Linked DNA regions of Stegostoma tigrinum. The protein of the gene in region 1 purifies or fractionates together with the protein of each later gene. This does not show direct contact. Links are inferred from orthologs where the notes say so. Each region holds a gene or a part of one and is shown in the gene's direction. Other genes may lie near its edges.

What was found. The genes of interacting proteins can lie anywhere in the genome.
Region 2: the proteins of ppp6c (region 1) and ankrd28b purify together in Homo sapiens (affinity purification with mass spectrometry; 9 studies listed by BioGRID and IntAct, with this or other methods). This does not show direct contact. The link is inferred for Stegostoma tigrinum from reciprocal best matches to the Homo sapiens genes PPP6C and ANKRD28.

What each region holds. Positions count from the first base shown.
Region 1 is NC_081382.1:26,601,891-26,612,501, reverse strand, and holds the start of ppp6c (serine/threonine-protein phosphatase 6 catalytic subunit), read left to right. Parts: upstream 1-5,222; 5' UTR 5,223-5,283; coding exon 5,284-5,358; intron 5,359-10,611. Other genes in the region: rabepk (rab9 effector protein with kelch motifs), read right to left, coding at 3,104-3,156.
Region 2 is NC_081355.1:102,765,825-102,776,691, reverse strand, and holds the start of ankrd28b (serine/threonine-protein phosphatase 6 regulatory ankyrin repeat subunit A), read left to right. Parts: upstream 1-6,420; 5' UTR 6,421-7,636; coding exon 7,637-7,759; intron 7,760-8,182; coding exon 8,183-8,266; intron 8,267-10,867. UniProt on the Homo sapiens protein: Regulatory subunit of protein phosphatase 6 (PP6) that may be involved in the recognition of phosphoprotein substrates. Involved in the PP6-mediated dephosphorylation of NFKBIE opposing its degradation in response to TNF-alpha.

The sequences.
Region 1 (10,611 bases):
CTACGTCCTCATTCAGGTCATTTATAAAAATGACAAACAGCAGTGGACCCAACACCAACCCTTGCGGTACACCACTAGTAACTGGTCTCCAGGATGAACATTTCCCATCAACCACCACCATCTGTCTTCTTTCAGCAAGCCAATTTCTGATCCAAACTGCTATATCTCCCACAATCCCATTCCTCCGCACTTTGTACAATAGCCTACTGTGGGGAACCTTATCTAACGCCTTGCTGAAATCCATATACACCACATCATTTATTCTTTTCTAGATGATTATAAATCCTACCTCTTATAACCTTTTCCAACACTTTACCAACAACTGAAGTAAGGTTCAATGATCTATAATTACCAGGGTTGTCTCTACTCCCCTTCTTGAACAGGAGAACCACATTTGCTATCTTCCAGTCATCTGGCGCTATTCCTGTAGACAATGACGAGTTAAAGATCAATGCCAAAGGTTCGGCAATCTCCTCCCTGGCTTCCCAGAGGATCCTAGGATAAATGCCATCTGGCCCAAGGGACTTATCTATCTTCACACTCTGTAGGATTTCTAATACCTCTTCCTTGTGAAATAGATAGCTCTTATCAGGTCCTGGGAACTCGTTTACCTTAATGCTTTTCAAAACACCCGACACCTTCTAAATGTTTATATTAACATGTTCTAAAATATCAAATATACCACTCTCTAGACTCCGAATCCACCATGTCCTTCTCCACTTTGATTGCCAATGCAAGGACCTCACCCGCATCTTCCAGATCCATGCCTAAATTCCCTTTTTGTCCTTGAGTGGATCTACATTTTCCCCATCTACCATCTTGCTCTTTAGAGAAGTATAAAAAGCCTTTTCTTTAATCCCATTTGCTAAGATTGTTACCCCAGCTCCTTGTTCATGTTCTTTCCTGCTTTCTATATATTCCTCAAGGCCTCTGTCTGTCCTCATTTTCCTAAGCTTTACCTATGCTTCCTTTTTCTTTCTAAATTCACAATTTCTTGTCACCTAAGGTTGCCAAATCTTGCTATCCCTATCCTTCACTTTCACAGGAGCATGCTGGTCCTGAATCAATTAGTATTTAAAAGATTTCCTCAAATTGTTACGTCCTTTCTACATTCCTCAGTTCCTACCTAATATTGCTGTAGTTAGCTTTCCCCCAATTTAGTACTTCTATTAGGTCAGACTTCAGTCTTCTCTTTTCAAGTGAAAAGACACCAAGTCTTTCCTTGGACATTTACAGAAGAGAGGTTATTCAGCCCATTGTGTCCGCACCAGTCAAAGATTGGACAGCATGAATAACATTTTCCAGTTCTTGGCCCATAGTCATGGAGGATATGGCAATGTAAATCACAGGGGATCGCCAATTTATCAACATCCGATGCACAAATGTTCGTACTTACAAACGCAATCCCATACGAGGTGTATGAATATTAATTTTAAAGATCCAACATTTGGCCTTGTACATAAGAAAGGCTGTTTTATATTATCAAGCTTCACTTACTCACTTGTGTAAAAATTGACTAGTGAATGGATTCAAGAATGGAGCCCATTCACAATTTGGTGACTGCCTGTAATAGCTAAATACTGTTTAAATGTTACAAAAGTTTCTGACTTAGATAATGACTCCCAGACTCCCCCCACCCTCTTAGTGGAAAAAAAACTCAACTGTCCTGTTAGCTTTCTACCTCTTGCATTAAATCTACACCCATTGGTTAATGGCTCCTCAACTAAAGGAAAAAATGCATTCCTATCCACCCTATCTATGCCCTTCACAATCTTAAACATTTCCATCAGGTCGTCCCCTTCTCACCTTTTGCTGCCTCGAGGAAAACAATCCCAGCCTATGCAGTCTTTCTGTACAGCTCAGACCTCCAGCCCAAAAAGCATCCAGGTAAATTTCCACGCACCCTCTTCATACAGTTATATTCTTCCAATACTTTGGCAACTAGACCTGCCCTCAGTATTCTAATTGTGGCTTCAAAAGCATTTATCTAGTTCTAGCATAACTTCCTCGGTCTTTGAATAAAATCCTTGGCCTCTAATAAAAGCAAGTTATTTGATATGCCTTCTTAACTACCTTATTTACCCTACCTTGCCCTACAATGTTAAGGGATCTGAAGATATGCACCAAGGTTCCTCTGATCTTCACTACTTTTCGGAGTCCAACTATTTATAAAATCCCTTGCCTTGAAATCCCTCTCCAAGTGCATTAGCTTTACAAGGTTAAAATCCAACCTATATTGCCCCGCCAACTGATTGGTCCTTTGAAAACTCCATGCAGTTATGCCACTCTTTCCCACCATACCAACTTCGGCACTATGTATGAAATTCTTGATCATACCCCTACATTTAAGTCCAAATTATAACTTACATCACAAACAGCAACAGTTCCAACAATAAGCCATGCAGAACTCCTGTGTAAACAGGTTTTCTGCTATAATTTCCGTAAATATTTCTGCACATTCCCTAGTGTCTTTTTTAAGTGACATGGCAAGCAGTCCTGTACAGATTTACACATCGTCTTTCCACAACTTGTTATTCATGTATAGTTGTAACATCAAAAGAAAGGAACACAATCGCCTAGTGGTGCTATCACTCAACTGTTAATCCAGAGAGCCAGGTAATTTTCTAGGTATACCGGTTTGACTGCCACCATGGCAGTTATGGAGTAGAGCTGGATGAACACTGCAGGCCAACCAGCATCATAGGAACTTTCCTGCTCCTATGAGGCTGCTTGGCCTGCTGTGTTCATCCAGCTCTACATCTTGTTATTACAGATTCTCCAGCATCTGCAATTCCTACTACCTCATGGCAGTCATGGAATTTGAATCCAATAGAAGTCTGGAAATAGGAGTCTAATGATGATCATGAAGTGGCTCAATTGTTGAAAAAAAAATCTCATCTGGTTCACTGCCATCCTTAGCTGGTCTGGCCTACATGTGGTACAGACCTACTACAACAGGAATGGGAAATAAATGATGACCATGTGAATAAATAAAACAAAAGAAAAAATAGGGACATTATCTCTGTGTTAAGGTATCACTTTACAGTTACAATTCCTGTCAATATAGTGTCGGGTTAAATATACACATGCTTTGACAGCCTACCATGTTGCTATTTGGGGTGTTTCCCCTGGCTCCAAGACAGTCAGCAATTCCATAGCCTTTCGAAAAATCTGGAATAAAACTGTCAGACATTGAAGATTTAAACTTTTATGTTATGTTAATGTATAAAAATTACTTGCATTTATTTAATTATAGTAAATGAAATCAACCCATAGCACAGCATATTATAGTCTCAATGCGACCATAAGGTAATTTACAACTTTTACAACATCTGAAGTCATATGGCAGCAGGTTATAGTCCAACAAGTTCATTGAAAATCATAAACTTTTGGAGCATTGCTCCTTCGCCAGATGAAGATTTCATCAGCCTTCACCTGATGAAGGAGCAGCACTCTGAAGGCTTGTGATTTTAAACAAACCTGTTGGCCTATACCTGGTATCATGTGACTTCAGGTTTTGTCCACCTCCACATCTTTATAAAATCTGACATTGGCATTACGACTTAGATTGGTGCATGTAAATATCGTAAACTACCTGTCAATGGCTGTCTGCAATTCTGAATCTGTTTTCTCATTCAAGCTTTCCTACCAATTTTTGAGGTGGAGATGAAAAATCAAAAATGCTAAAAGTCTTAGTCTGATATCCCTAGACTATGCATATTAGCAGTTGAGTGATAACTACTGTATTCTTCACTTCAGTTCCACAAAACACCATTCAAACTGTTGTGTTGTAGTGGATCTCAAAATTAACAATTTATCTCATGACATTCTCTTGCATTCTCCCTGTAATCCTGCACATTCTTCCTTTAGACGCCTTTATTAAACCTGCCTTCAATGTACATTCCATATCCTGACCACTCAATGGGATCAAAAACATTTTCCCCCGCATATCACCATTGATTCTTTTGCCAATTTCTCAAAGGCTGTGTCCTTTTGTTCTTCAACCTTTCACATAAATGGCCACTGTTTTTCCCTTCTCCATTCTGACCTGATCCTTCATGACTTTTGAAAGCATCTAACAAAGCTCCTCTCTGCCTTCCAGAAAAAACATAATGACAGCACTAATCTTTCTAAGCAATTGAAGTTCCTCATCCTGGAGATTATTCTCGTGAATCTTTTCCAGATTCTGTACAGTGCAATGCATACAGCTGGATGAAATGTAATTGCCAGTGCATTTTTAAGCAAGTTTAACAAAATCTGCTTGGTTCTTCCTTCCTAACTATAAAGCCTAAGAAACTGTGCACTTTAACAGCCACTCTTTCAAACTGTCCTACCTTCACTGCTTTATGCACACTCACATCTCTCTGCGCTGTGCATCCTTTAGAACTGTAATTTTTATTTCGTATTGTCTGGTTTTCTGCCCTTTATCTACCAATTCTATCATCATGTCCATGTTCTCTTGAAGGTCGACACTGTCTTCCTCAGAGATCACAATCAATGCCTCCAGGTTCTTATCATGCGCACAGATTGTGATTATGCCCCGATTTGCTAAGTCAGTATCATAACTGAACAATCACTGCTACTTTTTTTTGTCTTTTCGTCATCAGTTTGCACGCAGTCACGATTGATTTAATCTCGTGGGCTTTTTAAAATAAAACAATGAGGAGCAAATTAAATATTGGACACGTGCCCCGTTTTACAATCTTTTACAGCAGCCTCTTCATGTTCTTCTGATTTAAATGGAACATTCTGAGAATATTTGAACAAACGCCGATCTTCTCCAAACAGGGAAGTTTGATGTGAAATTTAGTGTCACTCCAGCGATTTAAAGGCCAGCACTGAAAGATGCCACTTTCCAATTCCCCTTCCCTCCAAATTCCATTTACTGATTTTCAGCACTTCGATGACTAACCGTTAGAGCATCTGTTACTCGCTATAATTACAGCAATATAAGCCTATGCCTCAAATGCTTCATACCTGTCGTTCTTCCCAATTTTTTTCTCGGGTGTTGCTAAAGGGAATCTACAACCCTTGAACTTTCAACTTTACCACCGAGCCGGCCAATGGAGAGGGCGGTGCGTAAAAACTGTGGGATTAAACAAAGAGTTTCGGTGTGTCCTGGGGAATGGGGTCAATCTTCAAACAATACAAAGTGGTCATTAACGATCGAACGCGTTTCGGGGTAAGGTGAAGGTTTGAAGCCGGTTTCTTTAGCCAGCGGCCGGCGCTTTAGATACCGGAAGCGCGTCATTGGCCTGGGGCTTGCTCAGTCCGTGTCTCAAAATGGCGCCTCTGGACCTGGATAAGTATGTGGAGATAGCTCGGCAGTGCAAATATCTTCCAGAAAATGACCTAAAGGTAACGTGTTACAGTTTCCGCTCTCCCCCACCCCCGAACTTTATTTTGTATGTTTTTTTGTGTCTGTCTATTGCTAAATCTATTTGACGCCTCAGTGTCGATTATGTTTGTAGCGACGCAATGGGACCTGTCAAGACTACAGCTTTAGGCTGTACCCTTACGTTTTTGGGGCCTTACCTCTTGTGTCCTAAGTTCTGTGGCATTTGTTTATATTTGGGTTTTGACATAAATTTAATGTGTGGCAGGTAGACTTCCTTAGCGCTATTATCTGTGGATCTTTACATTGACAGCGTAATGTCGCCGCAATCAAAACATCACAAGTGTTAACCCCACCACTCCCGGAGAATGGACCTCTAATAGGTGAGAAGCCTCCCCTGAATGCTGAACTGGGACGCTTGAAGTGAAACGTAGTTTGCTTCAACGAAGGATTGGATCATTTCGTAAAACAATTCACAAATTTTGTTCATTTGAGGAACTTGACTTGTTGCTGACTAATCACGGTTAATTCTGATCCAAAAGTAAGTTTTTGTTTCAATTAGGTTGAGGTAGAAGATTTCACTCCAGATTAAAACTATAGCTTCTTTTTGGGTTCAATGTTGACTGTACCAGGAGTGGAAACTTTCGGAGTTGAGTTGTGGAGAGGTTTAGTTATTAATGCTAAACTGTTATGCAGATTGTTCAAATGCTAATGAGTATTGACTTAAATGGTTCAAGTGAGAGAGTAATTAGTTGTGATGCTAGAGAGGCTAAAGATTGATAAAGAAATGTTACTTTCAACGAGATGCATCTGAGAATACTGAGAGAAACAAGCATTCAAATTGTGAAGGTACTGGCTATAACCTTTTAATGTACAGAAATGCTACCGGAAGACTGGGTGATTGCAAATCACACATCTGCTTAAAACAGGATGGAGTTTTTGATGAGATAATAGAGGCATTTAGTAACAGTAATAGGCTCCTGTAGTGTATTTGGAGGTGTTGGGGGTGTTTAGATACTGTTGAATATGCCAGAGCAGGTTGCAGTAGTGATTAAGTCTTACAAGATCCTGCTCAGTATTAATATGTGGATGGAGAAGAAAAACAGAAGCTCTTTATTTAAGATAAAATATTGATTCAGCTTCTACTGCACACTTTTGTTCCCATTTGGTGTGGCACGGTGACCCGCTGCTGCCTCAGCGCCAGAGACCTAGTTAAGTTCCAGCCTTGGGCGACTGTCTAATGTGGAGTTTACACATGTCTGCTTGGGGTTTCCTCTGGATGCTCTGCTTTCCTTCTCAGTAGAAAAATGTGCAGTTTAGGTGGAATGGCTATGCTGGTTCATCTTCTTGTCTCAGTTTAGATAAATGCTGCCTGAACAGCCTGCATTAAGTCTATAACTCTAATAATCGCAAACTAGCATGTTGCCCTTTTTACCTGGACATCAGCTCAAGTAGGCCATTAAATATATTCCTCAGCCACAAATTGTAGATGATTAACATGCATGGACCGTTTTGGTGACATGTTTGAGAATGTGATTATAATGAATATTCCTTGATGTTAAATGTAGTATTGTTCAGTAGAAATTGCTGAATGAGCGGTAACGGCAATGTAATTTAATTGGGCCAATGATTTTTAGTCTGGTTAACATTCTTGTAATACAAATGCTGGATTCGGTGAGTGTCTTTACTCATCTTACTGAAGCGTAATTAGTTAAAATACTTAATGATCAAAGAAACACTCATACATTCAGTTTTTTTTTTAGTTTGCCATTTTCCCAGAAGATGCATCAAGTTTGAAATATATTATACTGTGCAAATACCATATGAAATTAAAGGCCAATTACACTTTGTTACTGTTCGTATTTATCATTCAGGAGTGATAAATTATTAGTTATGCCTTTAGTCAATTCTGGATTGCCACGTTCTTTTCCTCACTTTTTCTGCCTTCTATCTGTCACCTCTGATTATTCATGCTTCAGTCATTTATTCACTGTGTCCAAATATCTCATTCAAACCCCCAATTTCTCAAATCTATTTGCATAAATGTAATTCCTCATTTTAGAGCCGTTTAATACATTTTTCTTTCCCCAAAGTTTTCATGTTCTTTGTGAAATTAAACAGAGTACTCCCAGTCGAGATCAAGGTAGTGTTTTATGTAGGTTTAGCATAATTCCGTGAATTTTGTACTCTGTCTTTTACTTAAAGCCCAGGATTGCATCTCCTGCTTTGTTAACTTGCCCATTGGCCTCCAAATATCTATATACACATGTTCCTAGGTTTGTCTATTCTGGTAACACTTTATAAATTATACTATTAAGCTTTCGTTGTCTTTTGTTCGTTCTTCTAATACTGTTAGGTTCGTTTTTCGGAGACCCGCACAAACTTGATGCAATAGCAAGACACTGACCTGGCTACAAAAACACAATCCTTTATTATTAAACAAGAACAAGCTGTGGAGGATCGCTGTACTCAACCTGGCACAGAGTGCTGAGTTCCGTTAGCAATTCTCCCCGAACAGTGGACAGTCCCCGCTTTTTATACTCTATTTTGGCTGATACAAAAAACATTTACTACATTTGGAACATATAGCGAACAGAATACAGCATTGATTGTTCACGAAGTGACTGGTAACGATTTCAAGCCGCCAAAGTGTCTGGCTTGAACAGAGGTCACTGACCTGTCCACTTCAGTAGAAACAGAAGTTTCATACCTTTACAGAAGTTTCACCCTTTTACAGAATTACAAATCATACCTTTACAAACATTAGCCACCCAATCCTATTTTGGCTGGAAGTTTAGGACAGTTTCCACATACCCCTGTGTGAGAAGACAAGGAGCACAAAAATTAATGAGATGTTATCCCATTAACATCTCAATACTACCTCTCATTTCTCAGCATCTACTATGTCTTCTGTACCTATAGGTAGTGCCACAGGATCGACAGGGTATGGAAATGTATCATGTGCTCATATAGAAATTGATAAACATGAACATTTCTCTAAATAAGGCTTTGATCAGCTGCATTGAGGGTATTGTCCAGTTTTGGTCATATACAAGCATACTTCTGCATGTTTCACTGTGAACTGCTTTCCCGTTCATGCAGTGCAGAATCTACATCTTAATATTTGCTTCTCTTTTAACCCTTTATACCAGGCATTTATGTGGTGTATTAACTTATAAAATCACTACAATGTACAACAATCTGGTAAAGGATGCTTCATAATATTCACTTCAAGTGAAATAGTTAAAAATGAGCCTTGAATGTATTTAGATGTTTATGCTGGTGTCTTTAAGTTTCAGGTATGAACCACAGTTGTGTAATAGTACCTAAGCTTTGACTGAGGTTTTGTGAGCTATATTGTTGATTATTATCGCATATCACATCGCATATCACATCTGTTAAGATGCTACTGAGATTTGAATCAGGGTATTTACGATTATAGTATGTTATGTTCTGAAGAAGTCCCATTCTGTGGGGATGCTCTTTTCTTTGTATATAGCTAAGTATTTTCAGTGTTTTGATGTTAGATTTCCAGCATCTGCACTGTTCACTTTTTATCACACTGTGATTGTAATGTTTTTTAGCATGTGTATAAACGTTATGACACAAAAACAAACTTGAAACTGTGTGAAGGTATTGAAAATAGAAAAAGGATTTGGGTGGCATGGTGGTTCAGTGGCTAGCACTGCATCCTCTCAGCACCAGGGTCCCCGGTTTGATTCTGCCCTCGGGCAAATGTGGAGTTTTCATATTCACCCTTTTGTCAGTATGGGTTTACTCTGGTTTCCTCACACAGTTCCAACATGTGCAGGTTAGGTGGATTGGCTGTGGTAAATTTCCCAAAGTATCCAGAGATGTGCAGGCCAAGTGGGTTAGCCGTGGGGAATGCAGGGTTACAGGGAGAGGGTAGGATGGGATGGGTGGGATGCTCTTTCTTAAAAAAAAAAAGCAATCAACACAGTGGCTAAGTGGTTAGCACTGCTGCCTCGCAGCACCAGGGACATGGGTTCGATACCACCCTCGGGCGACTGTCTGTACAGAGGTTGCATGTTCTCCCCATGTCTGTGTGGGGTTCCGTTGGGTGCTCTGGTTTCCTACCGCAGTCCAAAGATGTGCAGGTTAGGTAGATTGGCCATGGTAAATTATCCGTAGTGTCCAGGGGTGTGTACGTTAGGTGGATTAGCCATAGGCAATGCAGGGTTACGGGGAAGGGTAGGGGGATGGGTCTGTGTGGGATGCTCTTTGCTGATCAAACGAAACCTTGTGAACAACGGATGCTGGATGCTCATGACAAGTTAATTATTTAATTTTCTTTTTTCTCTGTTCTTGTTTACTAATGTATCTAGACTGCTGGTATTTCCTTAGTTAAACACTACTTCTAATTATTTTTGCCATCTTCTCCCTACCATGTGCTCTTTTTGCTACCATTGAATGTTGCCTTTTGAGACAGGGAAACCTGCAAAATAGATTCAAAGATACAAATGACTTGTTGTATTGGATTCACTATTGTTCCAATTTACAAGTATTTTTGATTGGTTTCTTCTTTTTTCTTACCTTGCCCTGAATGTAGTAACTTAATCAGAGAGTGGATTCAGTGAGTGTTAGCAGCCTTGTAAATTATTTTGAATGGTGTCAGTGCAGCTGAACCAGATCCTCCCTCTCCAGGCATTGCAGTGAATGGTTTTCATCAAGAGTTACAGAATAATAATTAGGAACCTAAAGGTGCTTAACTTTACTCCCTGTGTAGATTGGCACTGAAAAATTGCAGTGATCCTTCCTGTTTTCCCAGCTGAGTTTAGCAACTTAATACAGATAAGTAGCAGAATCTGGGACCTTCCTATTTTTTGTAGATGAGTAAACATGCTGCATGATGTCTTTCCTTCATGATGTCTGGAACATTCATGCCAGATTGAACTCAAGAATGACAGATACGTGCTTGGATTTTTGTTTTTTTTTACCTTTTTTCTTTTTAAAAGGAAGAAATGATTAATGTCCAGACAGAGTGGGAGAAATGCTAATGTTATACAACTGAAGAATTCACTTTTATCGAGGAAGATTAAGTAAAATGCAATAATTGAGTAGTTTGGTATTTGAATATGTAATGGATCACAACTGGTAAAATCTTTTTGAACGCTTTCCTAACAGTGAACTTTCTATTAACACAGGAATTAAATTGAGATCTCCTTTATTTAATATAATAGATTAAAATGAGAAGTTTGTGTTTGTCATGCATTCTGTACTTTTGCGTACTGCAATGTGATAATTGTATGTGGGTG
Region 2 (10,867 bases), on another chromosome or scaffold:
ACTAGCTTCCTTTTATGTTTCTGCTGCCACTCCTTCCCAGCTTCTTGCTGTTTGGTCTGCCAAGTGCAGGATTATCTCAAGAAAAAAAAAACTCTGTAATTAGATGCTACAGTTTGCTATGAACTCTTCCTCCCCTTCCCCCCCACCCCCCAGCCCAATTGTGCCAACCTGAAACACAAGTCCTGTATCCAGGTAGGAATGCTAACCAGGTATCCTTTAGACATCCAACTTCCCTGTACACCAGGCTGCTGCCACCACCCTCTAATCTTTAGCAGTTATAACACCCAAGCCTGTGATCGGTCTGAATTTTGAATAGAATTCCTTCCTCTAATTCAAGACCATTTCAAGTTTGTAACACTGATGGTTCCATTCCTCAGACTGTCCTGTCTGCCTCCTTGATATACAAAAATGAGTTGTGTCCTTGTTCCCCTCTGTGCTTTCACATCTATTTGAAAGCAGACTAGGTTAACAATGAATCAGTTCAGATTATTGTAGATCATTGAGCTACTTTATTTGACAACAAGGTGAACAATCAAGGATCATCTGTTTTTCTTTGTTATGAGTGCAATTGACATAACTTATCATGACTGGTATTGTTTCAAAAATGGCACATCTCTCCTCATCTTTTCATTGTCGTATCTGTCAACAAGTTTTTCCAACATTTCAAGCCAATTTCCATCAACAAAAGCTATTATAGCCTTTTTTAATAAACCTAATTACCCTTGTGACCCTTCTGTCTCAAGAGGCTTTTTCTCCTATCCTGTGACCCAGTTTCTCTTTATATCTCTCTTTACAAACCGATGAGTGTTGTAGTCTAATAATTATACTCCTCTAATATCTAGAGGTTGAATTCAGATCCCACCTGAGAAAAATGTAAAATTAAATTCAATTAATTCTATAATTTGTAGGTTAACACCAGCAAAATAACAGTGAAAGTTGTTGGGATAACACAGTGTAGAGCTGGATGAACACAGCAGGCGAAGCAGCATCAGAGGACAGGAAAGCTGACGTTTCGGGTCGAGACCCTTCTTCAGAAGGATTATCTTTTTAAAAAAAAAACTGGTTGAATACAGTTGAATCTATCACATCAGCCTGGTCTGGTATAGATTGCCTCCAATTACATGGACTCTGGATGATTGCTAACTCAAAGCAAGTTTGGGTGAGCAGTAATTGAAGCCTCCCTGGCATTTCCAGCATCCCAGGAACAACTAAAATGAGAATAGATTAGGCAAAGTAGGTGTGAGATGTTTTTGAGCGTGCAGACAAATTTAACGATTTAGTTATTGCTTAGGACAGACTCGGTTCATTTAATGTAATTTACTTCATTTATTAGGCTCTGGAACTGAAAGGTAGTCTCAGTAATGGTGTCGATGAAACTCGGGCTCTTATGGGCAGTGGCAGTGTTCCTACCTCTGAGCTGAGAGGCTCAGGTTCTAGTCTCACCTGCATCAGAGGTGTGTAAAATGCCTCCGTAAAGGTTGATTAGAAAATACCTATGAAACTATCATTGTTGGAAATAAACATTAGGTTCCTCAATGCTATTTAGGGAAGAAAATATGCAATCCTTAACTGGTCTGCTGCTCAGATGCTGTCTGACCAACTGTGCTTTTCCAGCTCCACATTTATTGACTCCACATCTACAGTAATGTGACAAGCTGTTGAAGACTCTTAGAAATAGCCTGACAAACCATTGATTTTGAGTGTAGTTAGAATGATTAATAAATGCCAGTGATGTCCACACTCCACAAATAAATATCACAAGCATGATTTATATTTTCAGTTTATGAAACTTGTGTTTTGAAAAGTGATAGTCCAAAATCCCACTTGTACCAGTATAGAATTAGCTGAAGCCCAGATTGTTTTGGTATCTATGTCCCATTAACTAACCTCAGATTTGAGGCATTTAGTGATACTACATTATTTTTCACATTTCTACCAGCAACTTTACAAATAAGTGTGATACTGACATATATGTTTTCTTTGTATCATGATCAGATGCAAATAGCATGGCAATTTGTAAAAGCCCAATGAAAGTCTGCTTGAAAATTGGCTGAAATGATTTCTTATTGCAAAGCTGATTTTACTGCAGTGTACTATATGCCGCTATCTCCACAGCATCATGAAGCAAATCTTCTGACCGGTGGTTACGGAGCTGTCTTGTTCATTCAACCTGAAATTTGTCGTTATTAGATTGCCAGGATGAATATGGCTTAAAGGTTTGTTAGAGCAACACATTCTGTTTTTTTTTTAAACTGCTAAATTCCAGTTCTTTGAGGTTTGGAAACTCTCAAAATATTTTGTGTGTTTCATAGCTGAGATAATCAGTTATGGGGATTTCCTAGTCATCGAAGTCACACCTATCATAGACTTCATTCTCAGAAACTAATAAATTTGTGAAGGATGTAGATATATTTATCAAATTACTTATTGAGGCAGTGCATTTTTGGCTGAAGTTGAAATTTGGAAATTGTAAACTCAGCTTGTCTGGGATTGGGATTCCTTATTTATTTTTGCAAGATAAAATGTAATCTATTATGGAGGTAATTTGGTTTTGAAACTCTGACTCATTCAAAATACATGTATGGGTAACATTTAACAGAAAGTGAATCATGCAGCTGGGAAGTTTAACTGTTTTCCTAATGTACAATTTGACAAAATGTTGTCAATGGCTAAAATTGCAATAGCCTTGTATGTGTCTCATGTTGTACAGAATTTACAATTTTTTTTTGGTATTTATTCTCGGAATGTGGGCGCCACTGGTTAGGCCAGCACATATTGCTAATCTCTAATTGCCTTGAGGATATGGAGCTGAACTACCTTCTTGAACCACTGCACCCTATGCAGTGTCAGTGCACCCCACAGTGCTGTAATGGAGGGAGCATTGAAGACTTGATTTATAAGCTCTTCCAGATTGCTTTAGTATAACAGACTTACACTGAAGTTTACCATTGGCTGCATGTATTTTAGAAATTTGTGCAGATACATCAATATAGTAGAAGCTTAGAAACTTGGCATTTGTACTATATAGTTTCAAAGTTATAATCTAATTGATTGGAAACAAATCAGTACTTAAAGCGTCTAATAGTTCTACCAAATTGAAATCCCTTTTTGGTGTAATGAAAATGGGCTTGGTATTATCATCTTTTCAAGCAGTGTAAGTCATTGTGGATGTAAAATCTATGGATTTGGAATAGGAAGCTGATGTCTGGTACTTTTGTCACTTTGTGAAATTAATCAAAATGAATAATTGTCCGTATTTCCACTTCTGTTCTTAGCCACCTGCCCCCTTAACTAAGCCAGTCGTGATGGTCTTCTCACTGTGTGATTGCTAATTTTTTTTGTCTATGTGAAGTTTTGCATCTGAGAACTTGTTGAAGTACAGCCCAGGATAAGTGCTTGCAATCTTTGCAAGCGTTCTGTGTAATGAATTCAAGCAGTCTTAAGTCTTTTGAGTCTGCTCTGCCATTTGGCAAGAACATAGCTGAGCTGATTATCATCTCAATACTACTTTTCTTTCTGCAGCCAGTAACCCTTGACACCCTTACCAATCCAAAGTACTGCAAACGTTTTATTAACCAGCGCCTATGGGACCAAGAGTGTGCCGGTTGACCAAATATTTTTGATTACAAGGACCTCTTGATTATCTATGTAAAAATACAAACTAAGTACTGGAAACATAATGCAGGGGGTATACACATCACTGTTATATTTTATTTACAGCGTAAATCACTTAAATAATTCAATTTTGCCTTAAATAAAACTTATTAGCAAGGCACCTTCTCACTCTCACCCTCACCTGACTACTCGGACATCATATTATTTAAGGAGAGATTGATTTGAATTTGAATCAACTGTTGATATTTTGTGCGGCCATTCGATTGAGCAGTAGGTATGTTTACATAGTCATATAGCATGGAGACAGACTGTGTGGTCTAATTTGACTGCGCCAACCGAGCATCCTTAACAGATGTAGTCCTATTTGCCAGATCATCCCTATTCATGTACCCCCAGATGTCTTTTAAATGTCGTGATTGTACTACCTCCAGCACATCCTCTGGCAGCTCGTTCCATACACGCGATCCATACACCACCCACCAGCCCTTTCTAATTTTTTTCCCTCTCTTCTTAAACCTATGCCCTCTAGTTTTGGACCCCCCCCCCCCCACAAAGACCTTGACTTTTCACCCTGTTGATGCCCCTCATGATTTTATAAACCCCTAGAATGTCTCCACTCAGCCTCTGACATTGCAGGGAAAAAGGCCCCAGCCTGTTCAGCCTCGCTCTATAGCCCAAACCCTCCAGTCCCAGCATCATCCTTGTAAATCTTTTCTGCACCCTTTCAAGTTTAACAACATCTTACCTGTAGCAGGGAGCCCAGAACTGAATTTGGCATTCAAAAGGTGGCCTCACCAATATCCTGTACAGCCACAACACGACATCCCAACTACTACACTTAATAAATTCCTAAACAATATGAAGGATTATTTGAATCTAATGGATTTTAAAAAGTGAACCCAAAACTAATTCAATATATAACTCAGTCGATTTCCGTCAAGGAAAAGAGCAAGCCTGATGTATTTGAGGTGGAAGCAAAGCAAGAGATTATGTCGTAAAAGGGAGTGTACTGAATTGCAGATTAACAGAAGTGGAACCTTGGAGTCCAAGGTGTCAGGACAGGAAGATAAGTTGTTTAAGCAACAGTAAGGGAAACTTACTTTAATAGCTGAGGCACAAATGTAATGTCAAGGAAGTTAATCTGAAACTATATGTAATTCCTCTCATCTGCGGTACCAAATGCAGTTTTGGTAACTGTGTTGCAAGAGAAATGTGATTGTACTGCAGAGGGTACTGAAGAAATTTACAAAGTTGTTGCATAGATTGGTGAATTTTGTTTGAGGAAAGATCAGATCAACTGTGGTTGTTTTGAACGTAAGAGCTTAGGAGAAAATATAATTTATACCATCTATGCGATAAATGTTTTGTTTCTGTCCCTTCAGCTAAAATTCTAATGGTACGTAGCCCAAAATCTTGCTTGCTTTATGGATGTTTGGCCTTTGAATTTTCATATATTTACATGTTTATGTCAGGGTCCTTAAGGTTGAAAATCTCTCTAAGGATATTTGGAGTTTTATTGGGAAGTATGCAAATAATGTTTTCTAATTTCAATTACCATTTTGTGAAGCCAGTGTTGTTACACCAGTGGCTACTACCGTGATCTTAACTAATGATAAAAATTTCGAGCACCCATCTTGGGAGATATCCAAAGCTGGTAAAGATGCAGTTGTGTTGAACGATTTCTTGACAGCACCAATAGGTGACACGATTCATGCTTTTTTTGTAAATTTTGAGACTAGAAAAGCATACCTACCTATAATTAAGATAGTATTGTAATTTTTTTAAATTAATGAGAGGCAGGACATTTCTGGCATTGTAGGGACATTCCAACTTGCCGACTGAATTGGATTAGCTCCAACGAATGGGGATTGGAATTAATCAGACTTGGATATTGAAGCTGAGATTTTTTTTAAAAATAAAATTGAAAATTAATTGAACCAAGTATAAAATCTAATGTGGCATTTAGCATAGCAACTGATATAGTTTGGTGAGATTAATGTTTGATTTATCATGTCTATATTTCCACTTGTTAAGAGGAAAGTTAGCTTTCAGGGTAAGATAAGCTGATAGAACTTTCTAATGCCATGATGGCCTACTCCCTTGACTACTAAAGCAAAAAGCATAGAAAATTTGGGGCAGGTACACCCATTTTTCTTATTTCATCTATAATGAGAAAGAAATATCATGTAAAACTTTGTCATCATCTATTCAATCATTCTGATACAAGAGATTTAATTTGAATTAAAATCTATCCCACAGTGTCTTATGTTTGCTGTACTGTAATATTTGCAGGTTGCATGCTTAAAAATTGGTTTTCCCAGGTATTTAGTAGCAAAACTGGGGTGAAGTTCAAGACCACATTTTTTTCTGTAAAGTGTTTACAGGTTTTTCACGGCCCTCTTTCCCCCCCAAAAGAATCATATTACTGAATCAATTGTCTGTTCATTACCCACTTTAAAAAATGTTGGGGACCTCTGTAAGTAGAATTTGTTAGACAGTTGCCCAAAGTACTACATGCCAAATATCTGTAGGAAATTAAATTTTATTTGCCAGTTTTCACCAGCAGCCATAGTTTTATGAGTACATTGAGAGTTTCTGACATTTGAGCAATGATTTAAGAAATGTTAACCGTTTTGAAGTTATCCATGTTTGTGCATTCTTAGACCTCTGGGAACTGTACGGAAGAAGTACTGTTAATTGCCTTTTTAAAAAAGTGAAACAGATAAAGGATTACTCATAATGTTGTACCCTCCCTGTCGTAGTGAGTCAGCAAAGCCAACAAACCATTTTCCCTTGCAGCTTTGAATGGAAACTGTTAACTTGCAGCTATTCTGCAATAAAGCTGCCTTAACGTCAGACAAGTAATTTATTCACATCTCTGGCATGCAGTTGAAATTGCAAGGGCAGCCAGAAAGCAGCACGCTAGAAGAAGCTACCAGAATTCTGCTGCTCTGTCTGCATTCAGCATATATAAAGCTGAAATGGTGGCTATGCTTTGGATATCTGCTGACTGCTTTTTAGGTTATGGATTGGATTCGGTGAAACAATAATTGATCCCTAAAGCAGGAAACTAGCAGTTCTGGATTGTCAACTTGAATTGGCAGACTGACAGAAGCTTGACTTCAAGCACATGGGAAAATACCACAGACGGCGGCTTTTTTATTACAGTCACAGTATTGAAGATTGAAGCTCCTGTACTTGCGTCAGTTATCTGAAGGAAATTCAGTGACTGCTGCCTTGGATTTCTGTATTCAAGATTTTTCAGGATAATTCCAGTTTCTTATTTGTTGAAGTGAACTGGCCTACATGTTTCCAGCTCATTGAATTGCCTGTCGGAGTTTCTGCAGTGACTAGCTGCTGGAGAAAAGTGACTGCTCGGCACAGCACAATCGCCAATGGAGTAATAGATGTATTTTGTTTCTGGGTCACACTTGTATAGCCCACCTTGTTGTATGGGCTATCCTGTTTATTTTCTGTTCATGGTTTCTTTCTGTCCTTTTCCTCTTTCTCTCTGTTGTGCTCTCACTCTCATCTGGCCTGTGTTTAATTACACTGCAGTGGAGTTAATTAAATGAATTTTCATTTGAAATTGTTTTGTACTTTCTCCTGGATACTGCTTCAGCCTGACGAAAATCTGTTGATTGGGAAAAGAAGTCTTGAAGCCTTCTGATATGGAAAATGCTCAGTTTCTCTCTCTGTAAATCATTTGAAAATCTAAACTACATGATTTGCCTGCTTTTCTATTTAAGGAATGGTGTCATGTCACCCATAACAACAGCTACGCTGCATAGAGGCTACTCTGTCAAATAAGGAACCAGCTCAGCAGTATCAGTGTGTGTGTTGGCAATAGCGCTGAGTTTACTCCGGAACTACTTATGTAAACCATATGGATAAAACTGGCATAAATCTCTAGCATAGTCACTTGTTCTCAGTGACAATAGGATTGTTATTTTCCATCAAAACGTGCAAGTGTTGTTTGTGAATCAAAGATTACGAAAGTAGTGTGGAAACAGGGGATCGGATGAGCCGAGTGTGTATTGTTGTACTGGAGGAGGTGGACGATGATTCTCCTGTTATTACTTCTAAAAAGCTTCAGGAAAAGTACGAGGATGCATCAAAGTCACTTCCACCTGAAGATGGAAGGGTGAGCATATCTCAGCTTGTCTAATCATACCTGCAAAAGTATTGCATCAGCTTCACACTGATAAGATGTGCAAATCCAGGTTTTATCTGCTTTCTTAATATAAATTTGTAATATGAAAAAAAAATATGCAGAGTCCAAACATTTGCATCTTAAAGTTTGGTTTTTGGCATTTGTTTGACATAAGCTGAGAAAGTTGCATGTATTGACATTTTGAATTGAATTGTGTATCAACAGTTTCTAGGAATATAGACCACACTTAGAGAAAATTCATACTGCTTATTCCATTTCCCACTGATATTTGAGTGTTTGGGACCCTACATACAGTTATGTGATATATGTGGTCCATATTTGTCAATTAGTGATGTCACAGTCATATAAATATTTTTATATTTGTATAATCTTAAGTTTCTTTCAATGTTGCAGCCGCCACTGGTTCAAGCTATTTTTAATGGAGATCCTGATGAAGTCCGCAGTCTCATTTTCAAAAAGGAGGATGTTAATGTCCAGGTACGTGTAATTTAATTGTTTGCCTGCGACCATCCCCTCAAACCACCGCCATCACCACCACGTCCACCAACTCCCCCACCCAACAGGTGTCCTTGTGCATCACTAAACTGTTCAAAGCCTGTCGGTTTTCAGTTGCTACAGAAGTGACTTGAAAAGCTAAAAGAGATCATCAGTACTCTTGTCTCAGTTCTACCTAGTGTTACTTGATGTATCTATTGATGAACAAAATTAATGAAATTTTCAGGATGAATACCTGTTATAATACGTCAGAAATTCTAATTCAGGACATATGGCTCTTATGACATTATGCATCCGTATCTGGAATTTCTTTTCCTTTTTAGTTTACATATTTCCATACATTCTAATGGTTTAGTAGGCTAGCTTGGTTTGCTAACCAGTGTAGCTGATTGTTCATGTTGATTAAACCATTTAGTGTATCAAAACCGGTTTCCTCAATCTTGCTTTCACTTCCCTTTTGTATATATAAGCAGATGAGGAATTTGGTTACTGAGTCTCATCAGGATGCTCTCAAGGACTTCCTGTGGCTTGCTAAAGGAATACCTGTGCCTCCTATTGAAAAATATGCCAAATATCCTCGATGAAATTACTTGTTTAAAAAGACTTTAAGTTGGATATTTGCTATTTGTTGCAGCGATACTTAGCAAAATTCCAAACCGGTCACCTGGAGACCAGTTTTTAAAAGCAGGAGTCAAATGTTTAAGTTCCATCCTTGATCTTTGATAAATTTGAACGTTTGCATATTTTTTCTCTTGTTCCCAATTTTTACATAGAAGTGGTTGGGAGGAGATTTAAATATGATTCTAGAAACACCAACAGTAGTTATGGCAGTTACCATTTTTGTGACCTCTATTAAGCTGCAAAAAGTGTTTTATAATGTTTGGGAGTACTCTGTTTGTATGTCTTCAACTTCATATATACAGACCAATGGACGTTCAGAACAGAACAGATTTTTATACATCCATCTGCTGGTATCTATTATAAAATATAATATTTCCTATTTAAATTTTCTGTGCTTTACATACAACAAGTTTTGTGGTGTCTAATGTTTTGAACATAGACTTTTTGATTCTTACTAAATTGAAACAGACTTAGATCCAAATTCTCTACAGCAGACATTTATTTATTCTCTGAGGAAGAATACGAGTCATGCCAGATATCGTTTTGACCCCTCGTTGATAAGTCAGTTTTACTTGAGCCCATGAAAATGCTGAAAGGATTCTATTTAAATGTACCGTTCGAAGTATTAACTCATAATGTCGGTGATTAGCATGAAAATAAATCTTTCAAGCGGGACCAAACATTCCAATTACTTCAGCAATTGTTCCTGATTGTTGAATTAAGTAAAATATTACAAACACACTGTTGACAAATCTGACATCTTATTAAGCAAATTTTCTGTGAATTACATATTTACATATTTTTCTCAATCTAGACAAGAACTCCTTGCTCTCTGATGAAGGGTCTAGGCCCGAAACGTCAGCTTTTGTGCTCCTGAGATGCTGCTTGGCCTGCTGTGTTCATCCAGCCTCACATTTTATTATCTAAGAACTCCTTTGTAATTATTTTTGGGAGATTAAAGATTTTTCAAATACTTATGTTCATGTATTCCCCCTCATCCCATGAATTAATTTAAAGTCAGAGTCTACCTTTGTTTCCTGCTTTCGCTAAGAGCAGGTGAAAGCTGTGATAACTCTATGACTCCATATAAGTTGGCATTAAACGCAGATAATCAAATATTGACATAGGAAAGACAAACCGTTAAAGGATGTCCATATTAAACAAGTGTTCTAAACAGTTTGTTTATAGAGATAATAATTTTCACCTTTTGTAATATTGAAACTTTTACCCTTTCCCCAGTCAGCTTTAGCCTGTTTAGAATGAAGGGCTGTTTCAATCAGGCCAATCCATAATTTGAGTTTGAACATTTAGTGCTAAATTTTATTTTATGTTTTGAAGGAAAATGAGCAGTTACAACAGTAACCATAACAGTGCAACAGATATGGCATCAACTACAAGAGTGGTCTTAATAATTTTATGATATTTTCTTTTGACTTGGCACACTATGAACTGCTAAATTCAGCTGTGAGTTGGGTTGTGTTGGTTTTTGGACATATTAGCCGCCGACCTTTTGTTTTCCGTGTTAATGTCCTCTATGATACTACAACCTTTTTCTGAACAGTTTTGATCCTGCCTAGTCGTGTAGAGGTTAGAATTGGTCAAATATCTGAATTTCTGAGATTTCACTCTCTTCTGAAGGTTTTTGACTTTAGCCTGCTCTACTTAACAGTTGGGAAAGTTCCCTGCTGGAAACCTTTGCTCAGTACTCAAATCGGACTCGAGAGCGTTCTCAGGATCTATCTCCTAGTTTAACAATGGATCTGAGAAAGGAACCCTTTCTGGCTTTCTCTTCAGATCGATGTAGTGAGAGGAGCTAGGGTCAGACAAGACCCAGCAAATACATTTCAATGCTTTATGAAAACTAACAAAGATAGGTGGACAGGCAGGTTGTACTGAAGAGGTAGGGAAGCTACAGAAAGATTTAGACAGTTTAAGAGTGTGGTCCAGGAAATGGCTGATGAA